4 linked regions of the Saccharomyces cerevisiae S288C genome follow. The protein of the gene in region 3 purifies or fractionates together with the protein of the main gene of each other region. This does not show direct contact. Each region holds a gene or a part of one and is shown on either strand. Other genes may lie near its edges. The genes, in order: SNU56, RSE1, CBC2 and SNU71.

The links.
Region 1: the proteins of CBC2 (region 3) and SNU56 purify together in Saccharomyces cerevisiae (affinity purification with mass spectrometry; 6 studies listed by BioGRID). This does not show direct contact.
Region 2: the proteins of CBC2 (region 3) and RSE1 purify together in Saccharomyces cerevisiae (affinity purification with mass spectrometry, with the first as the bait; 5 studies listed by BioGRID). This does not show direct contact.
Region 4: the proteins of CBC2 (region 3) and SNU71 purify together in Saccharomyces cerevisiae (affinity purification with mass spectrometry; 5 studies listed by BioGRID). This does not show direct contact.

The regions. Positions count from the first base shown.
Region 1 is NC_001136.10:943,115-947,187, reverse strand, and holds SNU56 (Snu56p), read left to right. Parts: upstream 1-2,035; coding exon 2,036-3,514; downstream 3,515-4,073. Other genes in the region: AMD2 (putative amidase), read right to left, coding at 1-381; YDR239C (uncharacterized protein), read left to right, coding at 3,768-4,073. UniProt on the Saccharomyces cerevisiae protein: Component of the U1 snRNP particle, which recognizes and binds the 5'-splice site of pre-mRNA. Together with other non-snRNP factors, U1 snRNP forms the spliceosomal commitment complex, that targets pre-mRNA to the splicing pathway.
Region 2 is NC_001145.3:173,602-179,814, reverse strand, and holds RSE1 (U2 snRNP complex subunit RSE1), read left to right. Parts: upstream 1-1,509; coding exon 1,510-5,595; downstream 5,596-6,213. Other genes in the region: GSF2 (Gsf2p), read right to left, coding at 178-1,389; AIM32 (Aim32p), read right to left, coding at 5,741-6,213. UniProt on the Saccharomyces cerevisiae protein: Involved in G2/M transition. Required for pre-mRNA splicing and endoplasmic reticulum (ER) to Golgi secretion pathway. U2 snRNPs associated protein required for the pre-spliceosome assembly.
Region 3 is NC_001148.4:210,180-213,316, forward strand, and holds CBC2 (nuclear cap-binding protein subunit CBC2), read left to right. Parts: upstream 1-1,978; coding exon 1,979-2,605; downstream 2,606-3,137. Other genes in the region: CUP9 (Cup9p), read right to left, coding at 2,863-3,137.
Region 4 is NC_001139.9:512,600-517,040, forward strand, and holds SNU71 (Snu71p), read left to right. Parts: upstream 1-1,954; coding exon 1,955-3,817; downstream 3,818-4,441. Other genes in the region: nicotinamide-nucleotide adenylyltransferase NMA2, read left to right, coding at 1-133; MCY1 (putative cysteine synthase), read left to right, coding at 560-1,741; MSB2 (Msb2p), read left to right, coding at 4,344-4,441. UniProt on the Saccharomyces cerevisiae protein: Component of the U1 snRNP particle, which recognizes and binds the 5'-splice site of pre-mRNA. Together with other non-snRNP factors, U1 snRNP forms the spliceosomal commitment complex, that targets pre-mRNA to the splicing pathway.

The sequences.
Region 1 (4,073 bases), on a different chromosome or scaffold from region 3:
TATACCGTACAAGGGTGGCAATATGGCTGGTCTATTGCTGTCGTAATAGTCAGCCAATCTCAATGCCTCTGAAAACATGATTTCGGATAGACAATTCACTACTTGATGAATTAAAGCAGCCCTATGACAAAATGCAGCTGTTATTTCATGGCAGCTTAACTCTTTTGCTTCCAGTGCCTGTCTCAAGGCCATAATCGTGGAGTGGGTGATCTGATTTTCTGAAGATGAGCATAAATCATCGATATTCTTGATTAAATTTTTTTTATCGTTCTTCAACCTCGTTATAGTTGTGCTGTTTAATTTCCATTCGTCTTTTATCTTACTGTTCAGTTGATCTTTTTTTAATTGAACTTTTTCCTTCCACGTTGAGTGCACAGTCATTGTATAACTTTGGTACCGTGTTGTCTGTCGTTAATAACAGGTCAGAGCGGCTGTCCCTTCCACTCCCCATTGAAAAAAAAGTATTTACTCGACTATATATATGTAATACGCTTTTGAATACTAAAATAATGTTATCAGTAATCTTATCTATTATTATCATATTATCATATTATTAGCTATTATTATATCATGAGCAATTCGCGCGCGCGGCATTTGAGATAGCAAACTTAATCCGTCACACAGATAATACTACAAATTATGACACATAATACTCCCGGTACTCAATAATATCTCATTGTTCGGTCACGAATGTGTCATTGACTATCCAATAGAGAATCAAATACAACGACTACTGGGAACTTATCTCCAGAAAGCCGGCTAAAAGTAGGTGCTTGACATAAAAAAATCTCCCGGGGGCGAGTCGAACGCCCGATCTCAAGATTTCGTAGTGATAAATTACAGTCTTGCGCCTTAAACCAACTTGGCTACCGAGAGTCGATTTCTTGCGAGGTGTTGTATCTCAAAATGAGATACGTCAGTATGACAATACGTCATCCTAAACGTTCATAAAACACATATGAAACAACCTTATAACAAAACGAACAACATGAGACAAAACCCGTCCTTCCCTAGCTGAACTACCCAAAAGTATAAATGCCTGAACAATTAGTTTAGATCCGAGATTCCGCGCTTCCACCACTTAGTATGATTCATATTTTATATAATATATAAGATAAGTAACATTCCGTGAATTAATCTGATAAACTGTTTTGACAACTGGTTACTTCCCTAAGACTGTTTATATTAGGATTGTCAAAACACTCCGGTATTACTCGAGCCCGTAATACAACACGAGGGCTTGAAATATGTTTCTTATAATTAATATCAAACTTGTTTGGAGGTTCCTATGACAGCGCCTCATAACTCGTGTCATCTTTGTACTTGTTAGAGATTGTTGGGACAGATGAACATTAACTTTTCATAAGATATTACAATAGCAATATAAATACTTAAATGGTATACTATAGTTCTAATGGAATTCTAGCATCATCTATTTAGTAGTATTTATATTATTAGTATATTATCGCATACGGTATAAGAAGATGTAGTTTACTTGCTTCAAACCAGTGACCTGAGAAAGGGGTGAATAATTTGATGATTGTTGGGATTCAATCCTTGGTAAAGGTATAATATTATGAATGAATAATGTACTAGAAGCTCTCCCCGAGATATAAGAACCCGCAAAAGAGGATCGGTATTCTTACGTAATAATATTATAATCTCATCTTCCATTTTTTATGTGACATTATCCTATTACATCATGAGTTGTTGCATTTCCTCTTCCATTTGATGACTGTCTTTCAATCTTTATGTCATCTTCTTACACCGCATTTGATAATATACTACTAACACGAATGCTAATAAACAGATGATATTTTGGATTTTTACTCCAACATGATCTTTAATTACTTCTTCATATTTCTTATTCTCATGATTGCTACTGGTTTGTTGTAACCTTTTTTTTATTTGAGCTAGAATTTTCAGCGCGCATCGCAGTGTAGAAAACATTAAAGTTATATTATATACTATAGTAGAAGTTTGACGTTGAGAAACAGTTTCCCTTCGACTAATATAAGCAAAAAATATTAGTATCATGCGCCCAAGAAGGAGAGGATTAGCGTATCATCATACCAAGCCGAAGGGACAACTTTCACAAGGACATTATCCTACGACATCCAATGATGGCCAAAGAAGGAAGGTCGGTAATTCTGAAGCATTCCAATCTTTTGATATATGGAAAAACCTAGATAGGATAAGGTCGACTAAGAAGAATGCAGGGCAATTCATAAAAGGTAGTCTGCTCATACTCCCCATGAGAACGGAAGATAAACAACAGTTCGACGAGTGCATGGATGAATTGCATAAGTATATATCGAAGGATATATTACGATGTTATCCACAGAAAGAGCAGAAAGATGAAGGCATGCTTTTCTACATAGTTTTGAAGGACTTCAATATATTGGACTCTTGCTTCGTATTATCAGTTCTGCTTGCTTTCCAGAAGCGATTATGGATGGCACCATCCGAAAAATCATACTTTAGAGTTCCTAAGAATATTAACTTGACAGGTTCGTTTTATTTGCCCAAGAATATAGAAACTGGTAGAGGCCATATAATAACAAGCTATAGAAGAGAGCAGCCCTCATCCAGTATTGTAGAAGTTGGTTTCAATGTTGTTCCAGATTTTCAACAGTTTCAAGTTAAGGCTTGTCATGTAAGTAAGTTCATGAATGAGCTTTCTAATTTTTTTTCACAAGTAGAATTTGGCAAGTGTGAAGCTAACGTGATAAACTACTTTAAGCGTGAATATAACCGCACTTATTCACAGATATCACTTGCCCTCTACGAACTTCCATTAATTGGCGATGGCTTGTTTGATATAAAGTCGTACATTAGTAAAACCAGGCCAATTATAGAAACATCAAAAGCTCAAATGATTAAACATATTTCTGAAATGAAGGCATATAACGAAATAAGTGGCCTTCAAGGAGATCAATTTCCACGACAACAAAGACCTTTATCGAATTCGCCCTCTTCAAATTCAATTTCCTCTTCTCAAACTATTGAAGCAGGTGCAACTTCATATCAAACACAACCACAGAGACACGCTGTTAATAAGCCATCAAATGTATTGAATTCTTCCAATCGTCATTCCGGGCCAAAAACTTTTGAGGACGGAAGGTATAGTGAAGGTAATAAACCGGGTTTTATGACGCAGGATGAAATCAAACAACATTGCATTGGTACCATAAAAGCTTCTATGGATGCAGTGAAAAAGAAGTCTTCGTATCAGATTCTAAAGACATACGTTAGGTGTCCAAGACAAAATTATATTGATATTGTTTATCAAAATCTAAATGATCTACGATCAAAGACAAATTGTAATATCGTCGTATTGAATCTGAATAATCTTCACGAGTCACAAATGTGGCTTGAATCTTTAAATACAACAAATTACACTATTTTTGCTCAGGCGCCTCACCCAAGTACCATCCGCGTTATTAGTATTGGTGGAGTCGGTGAATATATAGTCAAAGCATTAGAGCTGATATTGAATATATTAGAACATTGAGTCGCATATAACAGTGGAGGTGTATAGATATATTTAAAAAACCTTTTGGTTATTTTTTCTCTTTCATGGCATTTGCTCCGTATGCAAAGCGATAGTTTAATTTAATGTTTTCTTTCAAATGTCATCGCGGATTCAAAGAGCGCACTATTATTATTTGGCAAAAGTTTAAGAGGGAAAATGTTGAAATAGCATGTTCTGCAAAGCGAATTACAGGTTTTGAAGGAGTCTACAGGTAAAGTCTAATAATACAGTGATGTTTGATGGCTTTAGCAACAATAAAGGTAAACGAAGGTCTTTTTTTCGGTTTGGTTCTGAAAGTAAAAACAATGACTCTGAAAAATCCGTTAGAAAGCCATCGGTGCCCTCTACAATAAAGAAATCAACAAATATCGCACGAACTTCGACGGCTGAAACTTCTGCCCCTGATATACCGCCAAGAAGTCCAAATAGGAATGCTCATAGCAGGAGCCATTCTATCCAGGCACCATTACAAAAGGAAACATTAAAGAATACTAATCCATTTTTGAATGCTGAGGATACCTTAGGAGATTCTCTTGAA
Region 2 (6,213 bases), on a different chromosome or scaffold from region 3:
AAACTAATAAAAACAACGAGAGTAAATAGGATAGTACAAAAATACTAGGAGTAAAAAAAGGCCCTCTAGTAGTAGTAATAGTAATAGTAATAGTAGTAGTACTAGTAGTAGTAGTAGTAGTTAAAGGCTATGGTTGAATAAAAAAAAAGTCTGGATGGTAGTGTTTTGGTTTTACAATTAATTAGATTTTTTCAAATCATTCTTTTTTATACCAAAAGTAGCATCATTGTTTGATGCTTTCTCTTTCTCATCAGCAATTTCTCTTCTGAGCTTAACTAGCGAGGCCAGTTTTTCATCTGGTTCATAAATACCAAACCTTCTAAACCTCCTAATTTCAGCATTCATCTTACCAATATCCCCGTCATACTCTTCCAAGATCTTCTTTAGATTGTTTTCCAGCTCCACAAAGTATTCTTCACTTAAAATGAATTTCCGTTCGGTTTTAATAGCCGTGAAAGTGGAAGCAGTGAACCTATCTTCTAGAGGACTTTGGAAACCCTCTCCAGCCACAAGTTGGATACCTGGTGCTGCAGCTTTCCTAATCGCGCCCGCTCTATAAGCAGCAACTGCACCACCCATCTTATCTATGACATAGTTGTAATAGTTAGTCTGGTAATCGTCGTAAGTAGCTCTCTTAGCACCAATCCAGCCCAGAGAGCGCAAACGTGTCTTTAAGTCAGTAGTGTTGTTATTGCCGCCAGAATTCTTAGCGCCGTTAGCAGAAGGAGAAGTTAAATCTCTCAAACTCCATAACTTGTAAGGATTGAAGCTGATGGGGTTGGCAATGCCTAATTTGAGGAATAAAGTAATTATGCCCACTTTGAAAATGTGCATGACAAAGAAAAGCCATTGAGCTACGAGACTAGAATAGTTTGCCTGAACTTCTTGTTCGAGTTTAGCGGCAATTTCAGGTAAATCCATGTGCTTGGCTACAGGAATCAATAGTCTAGACAATTGATTAGTCAAACAAATACCTGGGGTTGGAGAAATGGCGTCGGGCAAATCGGTATATAGCCAGGCCAACATAATAATGGTGTATACCCATATGTTTTTCTTGGATAGCTTCCACTCCGGAACAACTAGCTGACCAGGCCACAACTGGTCAATAAGCGGCTTGGAGTCATTCAACTCCTCGAGATTTTCTTCGTTATCAGCTTCATAATGGAACATCAAACAACCACCTTCGGACAGGTACCCTGGATGGATAGACTTATAGAACTTTACGGGCTCCTTCTCATGGAAAATTGATGGTCTCAGCACCATTAAGTCCGCCAAACCCGTCTTGGAAGGGAAAATCTTCTTAATTTTGTTATTTATGGTGTCTTCATTTGACACCTGAAACGCATAGTCGTGCTCGACATCTGCGTTAAGTCTAATGTAAATCTCCATGCTTGCAATCGCCCTCTATCAAAACAAAGTCCACCGATCTCTGCTGCCCCTCTCTAAAAAGGAAAACAATGGCACCATTAGCTTCTTTTCTCGCTTTTTTATAATATTTTCCATCATTAAATGTGGGGAGGTGGCAAAATGGCAGTAGTAAGCTTGTCGCCCCACACGGCGAAGATGCGTAAACTATTTGGGCAAGCTAGCACAACGATGGCTTATGACGGTTTAAAACGAGAGGCTGAAAGAAGAACAAGGAGTGACCATAACATAACAATGGTTGCTAAAGATGATGAGCTATACTTGTACCATCTTACTTTAAAGAAACAGACGAATTTCGTGCACTCCTGCATCGGACACTTCGTCGATCTGGAAGCAGGGTCCAAGCGTGAGCAGTCGCAATTGTGCGTAGCTACTGAGACGCATTTAGAACTTTATGATACTGCAGATGGGGAACTAAAGCTTATTGCCAAGTTTCAAAACCTGTTTGCGACGATAACCTCGATGAAGTCGCTGGATCTGCCGCATTCAGGGTCAAGGGCAAAAGCTTCCAACTGGCCCACTTTTCTAGCGCTAACTTCCGATTCTGGTAACCTAAGTATCGTGCAAATCATTATGCATGCAGGTGCTCTTAGACTTAAGACTTTAGTGAACCAGCCATTGACGAGGACCACCCTTCGAAGAGTCTCTCCCATATCATACATGGAAATTGACCCTAATGGGCGTTGTATCATTCTCTCATCTGTCGAACAAAATAAATTGTGTTTCCTCGTTGATTATGCTCAAAAATTGAGGATTTCGTCTCCATTGGAAATCATCAGACCCCATATGGTAACGCTGGATATGGCAGTTGTTGATGTAAATTTCAATAATCCATGTTTTGTTACCTTAGAAATCGACAATGCCGCTACTCAACTATCAGTACACTTGATATTTTATGTCCTCGAGTTGGGTTTGAATCACATCGTCAAGAAGGCAGATTATTTAGTTAACCCATCTGCCAATTTCGTACTGAGTTTGCCAGATCTATCGCGATATAATATAACAACTTCGCTAAGCGACAACAACTATGATGCTGACTATGATACCCTTTTCAACCCTTTTGTTGTCATAGGCTTCGAAAATCATATTCTGGTAAAGGATATGAACGGATTTTTCAGCCTGAAAGTGGAAATACCCAAAAGATCTATCACAAATAGCCGTCATAAAAATGTAACAATCATATCAGGCATAGTGCAGAAATTGAAAAATGATTTTTTCGTACTTTTACAATCTAACCATGGCGATCTTTTTAAGTTAACTGTAAGTCCAGACACTAATGATAGAAATAGACCTTTAGTTCAATTGTCCTACTTTGATACAATCCAAAATTCACACCAATTACACATTTTCAAAAACGGTTATCTTTTTGCACTATCTGAAATGAATAACAACTTTCTTTTCCAGTTTGAGAAACTTGGTGTAGAGAAAAATGATTTTTCTAATGTTTTAACCTCAAAAGATCCAAATAAGTCGCTAGTTTTCGAACCATCCATAAAGTTGCAGAATTTGAGCATATTATCGCAACAATTGAATTTGAACCCTTCAATAAAATCTCAAATTGTCAGTGATTCGCCACTGTCTATCGCCACTAAACATTTTACAAACAACAAGATAATAACTTTAACAAATGCTGTGAATTACTCTAATTTGATATCTACTAGTTTACCCCCGAACGCAACCAAGTTATGGCTAATACCCGATCCTGCAACAACCGGCGATAACAATACTCTTTTGTTCATAACTTTTCCCAAGAAAACTATGATACTACAAATTGACAACGAGTCCATGGAGGAACTAACACCGGATGAAGCAACGCGTTCAGCTTTCAAGCTCTCTCAGGACACAACAATTCATACATGCCTAATGGGCTCACACTCTATTATCCAAGTATGCACCGCAGAACTAAGACATATCGTACCGACTGGTAAATCTAGGTATTCTAATAAGCTGACTTGGGTGCCACCAGCGGGAATTCGTATTGTATGTGCCACGTCCTCGAAAACACAACTAATTATATCATTATCAAATTACGAATTGGTTTATTTCAAGATAGATGTATCTTCGGATTCGTTAATCGAATTAACCACCCACCCAGAATTGGACACAATGCCCTCTAAAGTTGCGATTGTGCAAGATACGCAGCATGCTGATTTATTAGCCATTGCTGACAATGAGGGTATGATCAAAATAATGTCTCTTAAAGACCAAAAGGAAGATTTTTTAACTGTAATAAGTTTGCAATTAGTTAGTGAAAAGATTTCTGACATGATAATGGTTAGAGATTCCTCAATAGGACAGCTTAATTTGCATGTAGGTTTAGAAAATGGCGTTTACATGAAATTTCATATAGGGGATGTTGACGGATCGTTCACTGACATAAAAAGGCGATTCCTTGGCTTGAAGCCTGTTTCCCTTTCGTATTTGCGTGAGATATCTGTATCACTAAATAATGAGGAAGAAGAAGAAGAAGAAGAAGACGATGATGATGAAAAAGAAGAAGAAGAAATAAATAGTAGTGGAGCTAAATGGATGTCATGCGTGGTTTGCCATTCCTCTTCTACATGGGTAAGCTACACGTGGAAAAATGTGTGGACCATACGGCAGTTAAAGGATCAAAACATGCTAAGTTGTTCCAAATTTGTTAACGCAGATGTTGCAATCAACGGTGTTTGTTCAATATCGAGCTCAGGACGCTTAAATATTGGCAGAGTTTCCAACTTTCCAACTTTGGATAACTGGTTTCACGTTCATGAATCAAGTGTTAACAAGCAAGAGAACGGTGGAGGAGATGAAAGCAATGAAGAGGAAGAAGATGAAATGGAAGAAGAAATGGAAATGTTACAAATATCTACATTCCGACCTCGTACTATTTTATCATTTCCCAATAATCCGAAAAGCATTTTGTTTATTGATAATCACAGTGGTAAGAAACAATGCCGTATATCACTGCAAATTGATGGTGAATGCTTAAAGTTTGGCAGTTCGGATCATTTATACAAGATACTGGACGATATCGATTGCGTTTCCGCTGCTATAATAGATTTCACAAGACAAGCTGATCATTTGATCATTTGTGCTGGCGACAAAAGGCTGTTAACATACAAGATATTAGTTAACAAAGATAAACTATCTTTTGATATTGAATTACTTCACCAAACAGAAATCATTTCACCAATACATGCTATGTTGAAGTTTAAAAACTTCTTGCTGACAGCCATGGGCTCCACTATTGTCCTTTATGGTTTGGGGAAAAAGCAATTATTAAGAAGGTCCGTAACACAGACCCCGGTATCCATAACAAAAATTGTGTCTATGCACCAGTGGAATTATGAAAGACTGGCCGTTGGTGATATACATGAATCTGTCACTTTATTTATCTGGGATCCTGCGGGGAATGTATTTATTCCGTACGTAGATGACTCTGTAAAACGCCATGTGACGGTATTGAAATTTCTAGATGAGGCAACTGTTATAGGCGCTGATAGATATGGAAATGCGTGGACTTTAAGGTCTCCACCAGAGTGCGAAAAAATCATGTCAAATCATGATCCCAGCGAATTATCTAATGGGGCCATCAAGTACCCACTAGACGTCATCACTTTACAGCAGAAATTACCCAATACTTATGATTGCAAGTTCAAGTTTCAACTACTGAACCACTTCTTTGTTAATGATATCATCACTGATTTCCATATCCTGGACAGCCTTTCAAATTCTGATAGACCTGGTTGTATCTATATGGGCTTACAAGGAACCGTGGGATGCTTTATCCCCTTATTATCCAAGGGGAATGTTTTTATGATGGGAAACATTGAGAATATAATGGCTGAGGCGGATGATACGTTTTATTTAGATTATGAATCAAGAAAGAAGAATAACAATATGCGTAAGGAAGACGATGAAGAGGAATCTGGAAGTGTTGTGTTACAAGGACGGCATGGTATAGAGGATGAAATAATATGTGAGGGTTCCTGTTCCATTTTAGGTAGAGACCACCAAGAATACAGAAGCTATTATGCCCCTGTACGTAAAGTTATTGATGGTGATTTATGTGAAAATTTCCTGAGACTTTCCTTGAATGAGCAGGAATTTTTGGCCAAAAATTTAAAGAGTGTACAAGTGGAGGATATAATTCAAACAATCAACGAAGTCAGAACAAATTACATGTAATGATTTTACAGTAATAATACCAAGTATAAAGGCGTGTTAATGTATTTTCTTAATAAATATATGTACAAGGAATATATGATAGCTTTAAATATAAGAAATATAAAATTTCACCTCATCTTTATTTCTGTTTTAAAAGGAAACCGTTTTAATTCATCGATATGCCACCTCTGTACATTTCGTCGATGATTTTACCGTTTTCCAAGTTTTCACATAACAGCTTCAAGTTGTGTGGGTAAACTTTACCAAACCATAATGAATCCAGCTTGTTTTGCATCTTTTCTCTGCCGAATAGTTTATAGAAAATGACATTACCAGCAAAAATATGACCCCCAATATGAGAAATTAAGGCTAGATTATTCTCAGGAAAAAGCTTTTCATCTTGAAATGCTGCAATTATGTCGGGTCCCATTTCTCCACACTTAGCATCTCTCTTATAATGCCCACAGACTAAGTTCCAATCTCTTAGAAAAGTTTCACCCTGAAACCTTGTAAGCTTTCTATGATGCACTTCATGAACCTGTTGGGAAGCCTTGGCCTTACCGCTTAAATAATCCTGGAAGGATAGCTTTGGTGCTTGAATAGCTCCTTCATCTAAAAAAGATGCAAATTCCTCGATGT
Region 3 (3,137 bases):
GCAAAAAGAAAACTCCGATACGGGGAGTCGAACCCCGGTCTCCACGGTGAAAGCGTGATGTGATAGCCGTTACACTATATCGGACAATAATTGGACAGAAAATTTTGTTAAAGTGTCAGCCTAATCGGCGTAATACGTATATATGTATATTATCTGCATATTATTACGATAATATACAACAAAACGGATTAAAACAATCGGTATATTTCAATTTGATATTTGGGATAAGGTAAAATAAAAACCGAAGATCAGTAAGCTCTTGTTACTTTTTTGTTGGAATAGAGGATCAAGAAGCATTTATTGCTAGTATCCAAATTATTAGTATATCATCATGTTTTCAAAAAAAAATGATGTAAAAATTGAGAAACAGTCACCAGTCATCATGAAAAGTGCACTGCAAGGATTAATAACGTAATAAAACAAGAACGACAGTACATAAACGAAAGAAGAGATAACTATATTATTGTATAGAATTATCGATTCTCTTTTAGAATTCTTTTATTCTCCAGGAAAACTACTTGTACATTCTGTTTAGCTAATATTGTAGCCTTTAACCACAATAAAATGCACTCCAAGTATAACCCAAAATTCATTGTTTTCAAATTTATATTAATGAGATATTGGTAACCTAAACATCAAAAATATTTTTACTCAAATTCTCTTTTCTGAAAACGCTGAAGGAAATGTGCAGGAAAAATGTTTGGCCATCAACTTTTATTCCTAGTACCACAACTAACGTCACATTCTATCGAGGCAAATGCTAATTGGCAACTAACACTATCTTAACGGTTTGATAATGTCAACACAAAATTCACCTATTATTACAAACGAATCTACCGGAAGTTGAAATGCCTGACAATAATCATACAATTGCATGAATAATTGCGAACAGATGGCAGCAAAGGATGAACTAATCATAATTATACATTGCCGCTGTAGGTTTCCTCCCATAAAAATCCAAATTTCCAAGAAAAAGTTCTTGTGTCTTCATACACTTAATATTGTTATCCTTCTTCAAGACCGGACTATATAAAGAAAAAATTTTGTAATGCTATTATATTTCAACTTCAAATTATTTTCTACTAGTAGACATAATGGAACTTCGCTCTCAGATAATCTATGGCGATAGATGGACAATTGACAATCTTCTGAAAGAATTTATATAATAAGATGTGACCATGACCTAAACCTGCTCACGCTCATGAAAGGATACAGGTAATTTGGCGAAACATTCCCAAGCTTCGCTGATAGACCTATCCCAGAAAGTGTCTGTTTAAAACTACAAGTATTTGCAGTTTTCGTTATCCAGTTTCGTTCAAGAGCATTAATGCACAAGCCACTTATATTATATAAATTTAAACTTTGGGAAAATATCATACACCTATTGTACCAGTAAATGTTGGAATAAAAATCAACTATCATCTACTAACTAGTATTTACGTTACTAGTATATTATCATATACGGTGTTAGAAGATGACACAAATGATGAGAAATAGTCATCTAAATTAGTGGAAGCTGAAACGCAAGGATTGATAATGTAATAGGATCAATGAATATTAACATATAAAATGATGATAATAATATTTATAGAATTGTGTAGAATTGCAGATTCCCTTTCATGGATTCCTAAATCCTTGAGGAGAACTTCTAGTATATCTATATACCTAATATTATAGCCTTAATCACAATGGAATCCCAACAATTACATCAAAATCCACATTGTCTACAGTAAAAGTATACCACTAATAGATTTGTAATTGGTGTATGAAGTAGTGTATGGTATAAACGTTAATAAGTGCTTATCAAAGTATTACCCGCTTTAACAGTTTTTGTGTTTTTTTCAAGAAAAATATTATATGTATGAATATAGAACATGAGTTTATATGGAGAAAGTGTCTCGACAGCTTTTAAAGTCCCGAAAGGACTAATATCGAATAAAAGTTGCATCCATTAATATACCAATAAATAAAGGGAAAGATGTCCCTGGAAGAATTTGACGAAGTTAAATATGATCATTCAACTAAACGCCTAGATACACCATCAAGGTACCTGCTGCGCAAGGCTAGAAGAAACCCTAACGGGCTACAAGAACTGCGTGAGTCGATGAAGTCATCCACAATTTATGTAGGAAATCTTTCCTTTTATACATCAGAAGAACAAATTTACGAATTATTCAGTAAATGTGGCACAATAAAAAGAATAATTATGGGTTTGGACCGTTTTAAGTTCACGCCATGTGGCTTCTGTTTTATTATATATAGTTGTCCAGATGAAGCATTGAATGCCTTAAAATATTTGTCCGATACAAAGTTAGACGAAAAGACAATTACCATTGATCTAGATCCTGGTTTTGAAGATGGAAGACAGTTTGGTCGTGGTAAGAGCGGTGGTCAAGTCAGCGATGAATTGAGGTTCGATTTTGATGCATCCAGAGGTGGCTTCGCCATTCCATTTGCAGAGCGTGTCGGCGTACCACATTCCAGATTTGATAACAGTAGCTCACAATCTAATACGAATAATTATATCCCTCCTCCTGATGCAATGGGTACTTTCAGACCAGGTTTCGATGAAGAAAGAGAAGATGATAACTACGTACCTCAGTAGAATCAATCAATTTATATCTGAGAAAGATTCTACACACAGATATATATATATATATATATATTATTGTATATATACATACCTACATTATTTTTAAAGGCTTGCATGATGCTGTTATGTAAAAAAAAAAAAAAAAAATCAGTGTAACATAATAGACGTAACACGTTCAATGACATGATAATACTATATATAGTAACGATAAAATGTAAATGGTAATAGATATAATTATATGAATATTTAAGTAATGCATTGATAAGTGATCAATTCATATCAGGGTTGGATAGCTTTTTCAATTCTTCCAGCCTATCAATTAGTTTTTTACGGCGTGTAACGGGGGCATGAGCAAATCTCTTGGATAATTCATAATCCGTGGAGCAGGTTGACGTAGCATCGTACATAGTATTATTTGTGGCAGATAATGTGTTATGATATGCTGAGACGTTTTGAACTCGTTCCACTGGGGTATTATTCGCGTTGTCATTAGGAATTGAGTTTACCAGGGTATAGTAATCACTAAATATTTTGCGTCTTCTCA
Region 4 (4,441 bases), on a different chromosome or scaffold from region 3:
GCGGCTTTTCATCAGACGTGGAATGTCAGTTCAATATCTTCTTCCAAACTCTGTCATCCGTTACATCCAAGAGTATAATCTATACATTAATCAAAGTGAACCGGTCAAGCAGGTCTTGGATAGCAAAGAGTGAGTTTATTACAACTCTGATACTGCAGCAGTTCAAATTTACCACTTTCCTCTTCAAGGTGCATAGAAAAAAAGTTCCTGGATGCACGATTTAAAATGTTTACAGCAGAGCAACAATCATGTGAACAATGTCAAACATTTATTTTAACACTTAATAATTATAATATAACCACACCAGCGGTAAGTTTCATAAGGAAAACCTTTCAGACAAACATTCCAGTGAATCGTATACGTAAATCAGCAAAATTAGCTTATAAAATACAGAATCCGAAGATACTTGATCTACTCGCGTTACTATTAATGCGGGTAATGATCTATATTGAATTTTGCACGTCTATAGTAACTTAAAAGTCTTGTAATATTTGAAGTAACAATGCCGTATAATACTGCATAATAGCCCTATCAATCGGAATATACCAAAACATCCTTTATGTCCTGTTCTCAAAATAAGACTTCTGTCAGTCTGGCCTGGCGTGAATGCATATCCATCGCTTCCGTCCTAATTGGCGCGTATGCATCATACAAATACTATAAGCTGTTCAAAACACGCGATATTCCACGTCCAAAAGAAGGCGTTGAAGAACTCATAGGAAACACTCCTCTGGTTAAGATCAGATCTCTTACCAAGGCTACTGGAGTTAACATTTACGCTAAGTTGGAGTTATGCAACCCAGCAGGAAGTGCTAAGGATAGAGTGGCTTTAAACATCATAAAGACGGCTGAGGAATTAGGCGAGCTCGTCAGAGGTGAACCTGGCTGGGTATTTGAAGGAACAAGTGGGTCGACTGGTATCTCTATAGCAGTGGTCTGTAATGCGTTGGGTTATAGGGCACACATTTCTTTGCCCGATGACACATCGCTAGAAAAATTGGCATTACTAGAAAGCCTCGGTGCTACTGTTAATAAGGTTAAGCCCGCTAGTATTGTCGATCCAAACCAATACGTAAATGCCGCCAAAAAGGCATGTAATGAACTAAAGAAGAGTGGTAATGGAATAAGAGCAGTTTTTGCCGATCAGTTCGAAAACGAAGCCAACTGGAAAGTACATTACCAGACCACAGGCCCAGAAATTGCCCATCAAACTAAGGGAAATATTGACGCATTCATTGCTGGCTGCGGTACTGGTGGCACCATAACTGGTGTGGCAAAATTCTTAAAGGAAAGAGCAAAGATACCTTGCCATGTCGTTCTAGCGGATCCACAAGGATCTGGCTTTTATAATAGAGTCAACTATGGCGTGATGTATGACTATGTAGAGAAGGAAGGTACTAGAAGAAGGCATCAAGTTGACACTATCGTAGAAGGGATTGGGTTAAACAGAATCACTCATAATTTTCATATGGGCGAAAAGTTTATTGATGAATCAATACGAGTCAACGATAATCAAGCCATTAGAATGGCAAAATACCTATCGGTAAACGACGGGCTATTCGTGGGGAGTAGTACAGCTATTAATGCGGTAGCCGCTATTCAGGTTGCAAAAACGCTTCCTCACGGCTCAAACATTGTGATTATTGCATGCGACAGCGGTTCAAGACACCTAAGTAAATTCTGGAAAGAAGCTAAAGAAATCGATCACGACGTGTCATTAGAAGAAGTAATAAATATCTAACATAGATGTATAAATCAGTACTGAGTTATCTTCTATTAAATTGTAGGAACAAATATAAAAAAGCAGTTTTCGCTGCTACATTTTTTGCTACTTTCCGTGGTAATGATGCCCGCTAAAAAGTGCAAAAGTAATTAGATAGATCAAGAACAAAAACAGACCAGGACCAAAATCAAGCTCATAAAAGTTCCTTAAGAGTACGTCGATTTACAGAACATGAGGGATATTGTATTTGTATCACCGCAGCTGTATTTGTCATCACAGGAGGGTTGGAAAAGTGATTCTGCCAAAAGTGGGTTCATCCCTATCCTCAAAAATGATCTACAACGTTTTCAGGACTCATTAAAACATATAGTTGACGCCAGAAACAGCTTATCAGAGACACTGCTAAATAGCAACGATGATGGGAGTATACACAATTCTGACCAGAATACTGGTTTGAATAAAGACAAAGAGGCTTCAATAGCAGATAACAATAGTGCTAACAAGTGCGCCACAAGCTCTTCCCGTTACCAAGAGCTCAAACAATTTCTTCCCATTTCCTTAGACCAACAGATTCATACAGTATCTTTACAAGGTGTCTCTTCATCATTTTCTCGCGGACAGATAGAATCATTGCTAGACCACTGTTTGAATTTAGCGTTGACTGAAACTCAAAGCAATTCCGCATTGAAAGTAGAAGCTTGGTCTTCTTTTTCTTCGTTTTTAGATACCCAGGACATTTTTATAAGATTCAGTAAGGTTGATGAAGATGAGGCATTTGTTAATACGCTGAACTACTGCAAAGCCTTATTCGCGTTTATTAGAAAGCTACATGAGGATTTCAAGATTGAGTTACACTTGGATTTGAACACAAAAGAATATGTCGAAGACCGAACAGGAACTATACCGAGTGTTAAGCCAGAAAAGGCTAGCGAATTTTATTCTGTTTTCAAAAACATTGAAGATCAAACAGACGAAAGAAATTCAAAGAAAGAACAGTTGGATGACTCTTCCACACAATACAAAGTGGATACAAACACTTTAAGTGATTTGCCATCGGATGCTTTGGACCAATTGTGCAAGGATATAATAGAATTTAGGACAAAAGTTGTCAGTATAGAGAAAGAAAAAAAAATGAAAAGTACGTACGAGGAAAGTAGGCGTCAAAGACACCAAATGCAAAAAGTTTTTGATCAAATAAGGAAAAACCACTCAGGAGCCAAAGGGAGCGCCAATACAGAGGAGGAGGATACTAATATGGAAGATGAAGATGAGGAGGATGACACTGAAGACGACCTTGCCTTAGAGAAGAGAAAAGAAGAAAGAGACCTGGAAGAATCAAATCGTAGATATGAGGATATGTTACACCAATTACATTCCAATACAGAGCCTAAGATAAAATCCATTAGGGCTGATATCATGAGTGCTGAAAACTATGAGGAACATTTGGAGAAAAATCGCTCATTATATTTGAAGGAGCTATTACACCTTGCCAACGACGTTCATTACGACCACCATAGATCTTTCAAGGAGCAAGAGGAAAGAAGGGACGAAGAGGATAGAGCTAAAAATGGAAATGCAAAGGAACTGGCGCCTATACAACTATCGGATGGTAAGGCCATATCTGCAGGGAAGGCTGCCGCCATCACCCTTCCTGAAGGCACTGTGAAGAGCGAGAACTATAACGCGGACAAGAATGTGTCTGAGAGCTCAGAACACGTCAAGATCAAATTCGACTTTAAGAAGGCTATTGATCACTCAGTTGAAAGCTCTAGCGAAGACGAGGGATACAGAGAGAGCGAGCTACCTCCAACAAAACCCTCCGAGAGAAGCGCGGCAGAGGACCGTTTGCCATTTACAGCAGATGAACTGAACATAAGACTAACTAATCTGAAGGAATCGCGCTACGTGGACGAACTGGTGCGTGAATTCCTCGGCGTCTACGAGGACGAGCTGGTGGAATACATTCTTGAGAACATCCGCGTGAACCAGAGCAAACAGGCCCTTTTAAATGAGCTAAGGGAGACTTTCGACGAGGACGGGGAAACGATAGCTGATAGACTGTGGAGTCGTAAAGAATTTCGCTTGGGGACCTGAAACAGAAGGGCCTTGGCGCGCGTCCCAAAAGGGAAAGGCTCGCTCTGAAACAGGCGAAGACACGAAAACAAATTACCGTTTCGGGGCGTTTTGCAGCAAGTGGCTAGACACGTCGGGCGTTGCCAGATCAAAATAGCACCAGTGGGTGTTTTTTTACTATCTCATCTTCGTGCTGATATATATAACTTTTATACATTTCCATAGTACCAAGTTCTTTATTTCCTGCATTTTTACATTTATAATAGATTACCAAAACTATTCGACCTCACCAAGGGACCCCATAATATTGCTAAAATAATCTTACCTGTTTTTTACCATTTTTTTCTTTTTTTCCAGAAGTAATAAGCTCTCTCTTAGAAGAACTAAAAGCATCTGACTTCGGCTCGTTCCAACCGACCAAAATATTTGTGAAAATATTATTCATTCCTTTAACGACTTATTGTGTATTCTGTTCATCTCTAGCTGGCTTCCACCTCGTTTCCTATTTTTATTGACTTTTCATTAGGCTTCCTAATTATACCCATCTATGCAGTTTCCATTCGCTTGTCTCCTATCGACCCTTGTAATTAGTGGGTCATTGGCCCGGGCCAGCCCCTTCGACTTTATATTCGGCAATGGAACGCA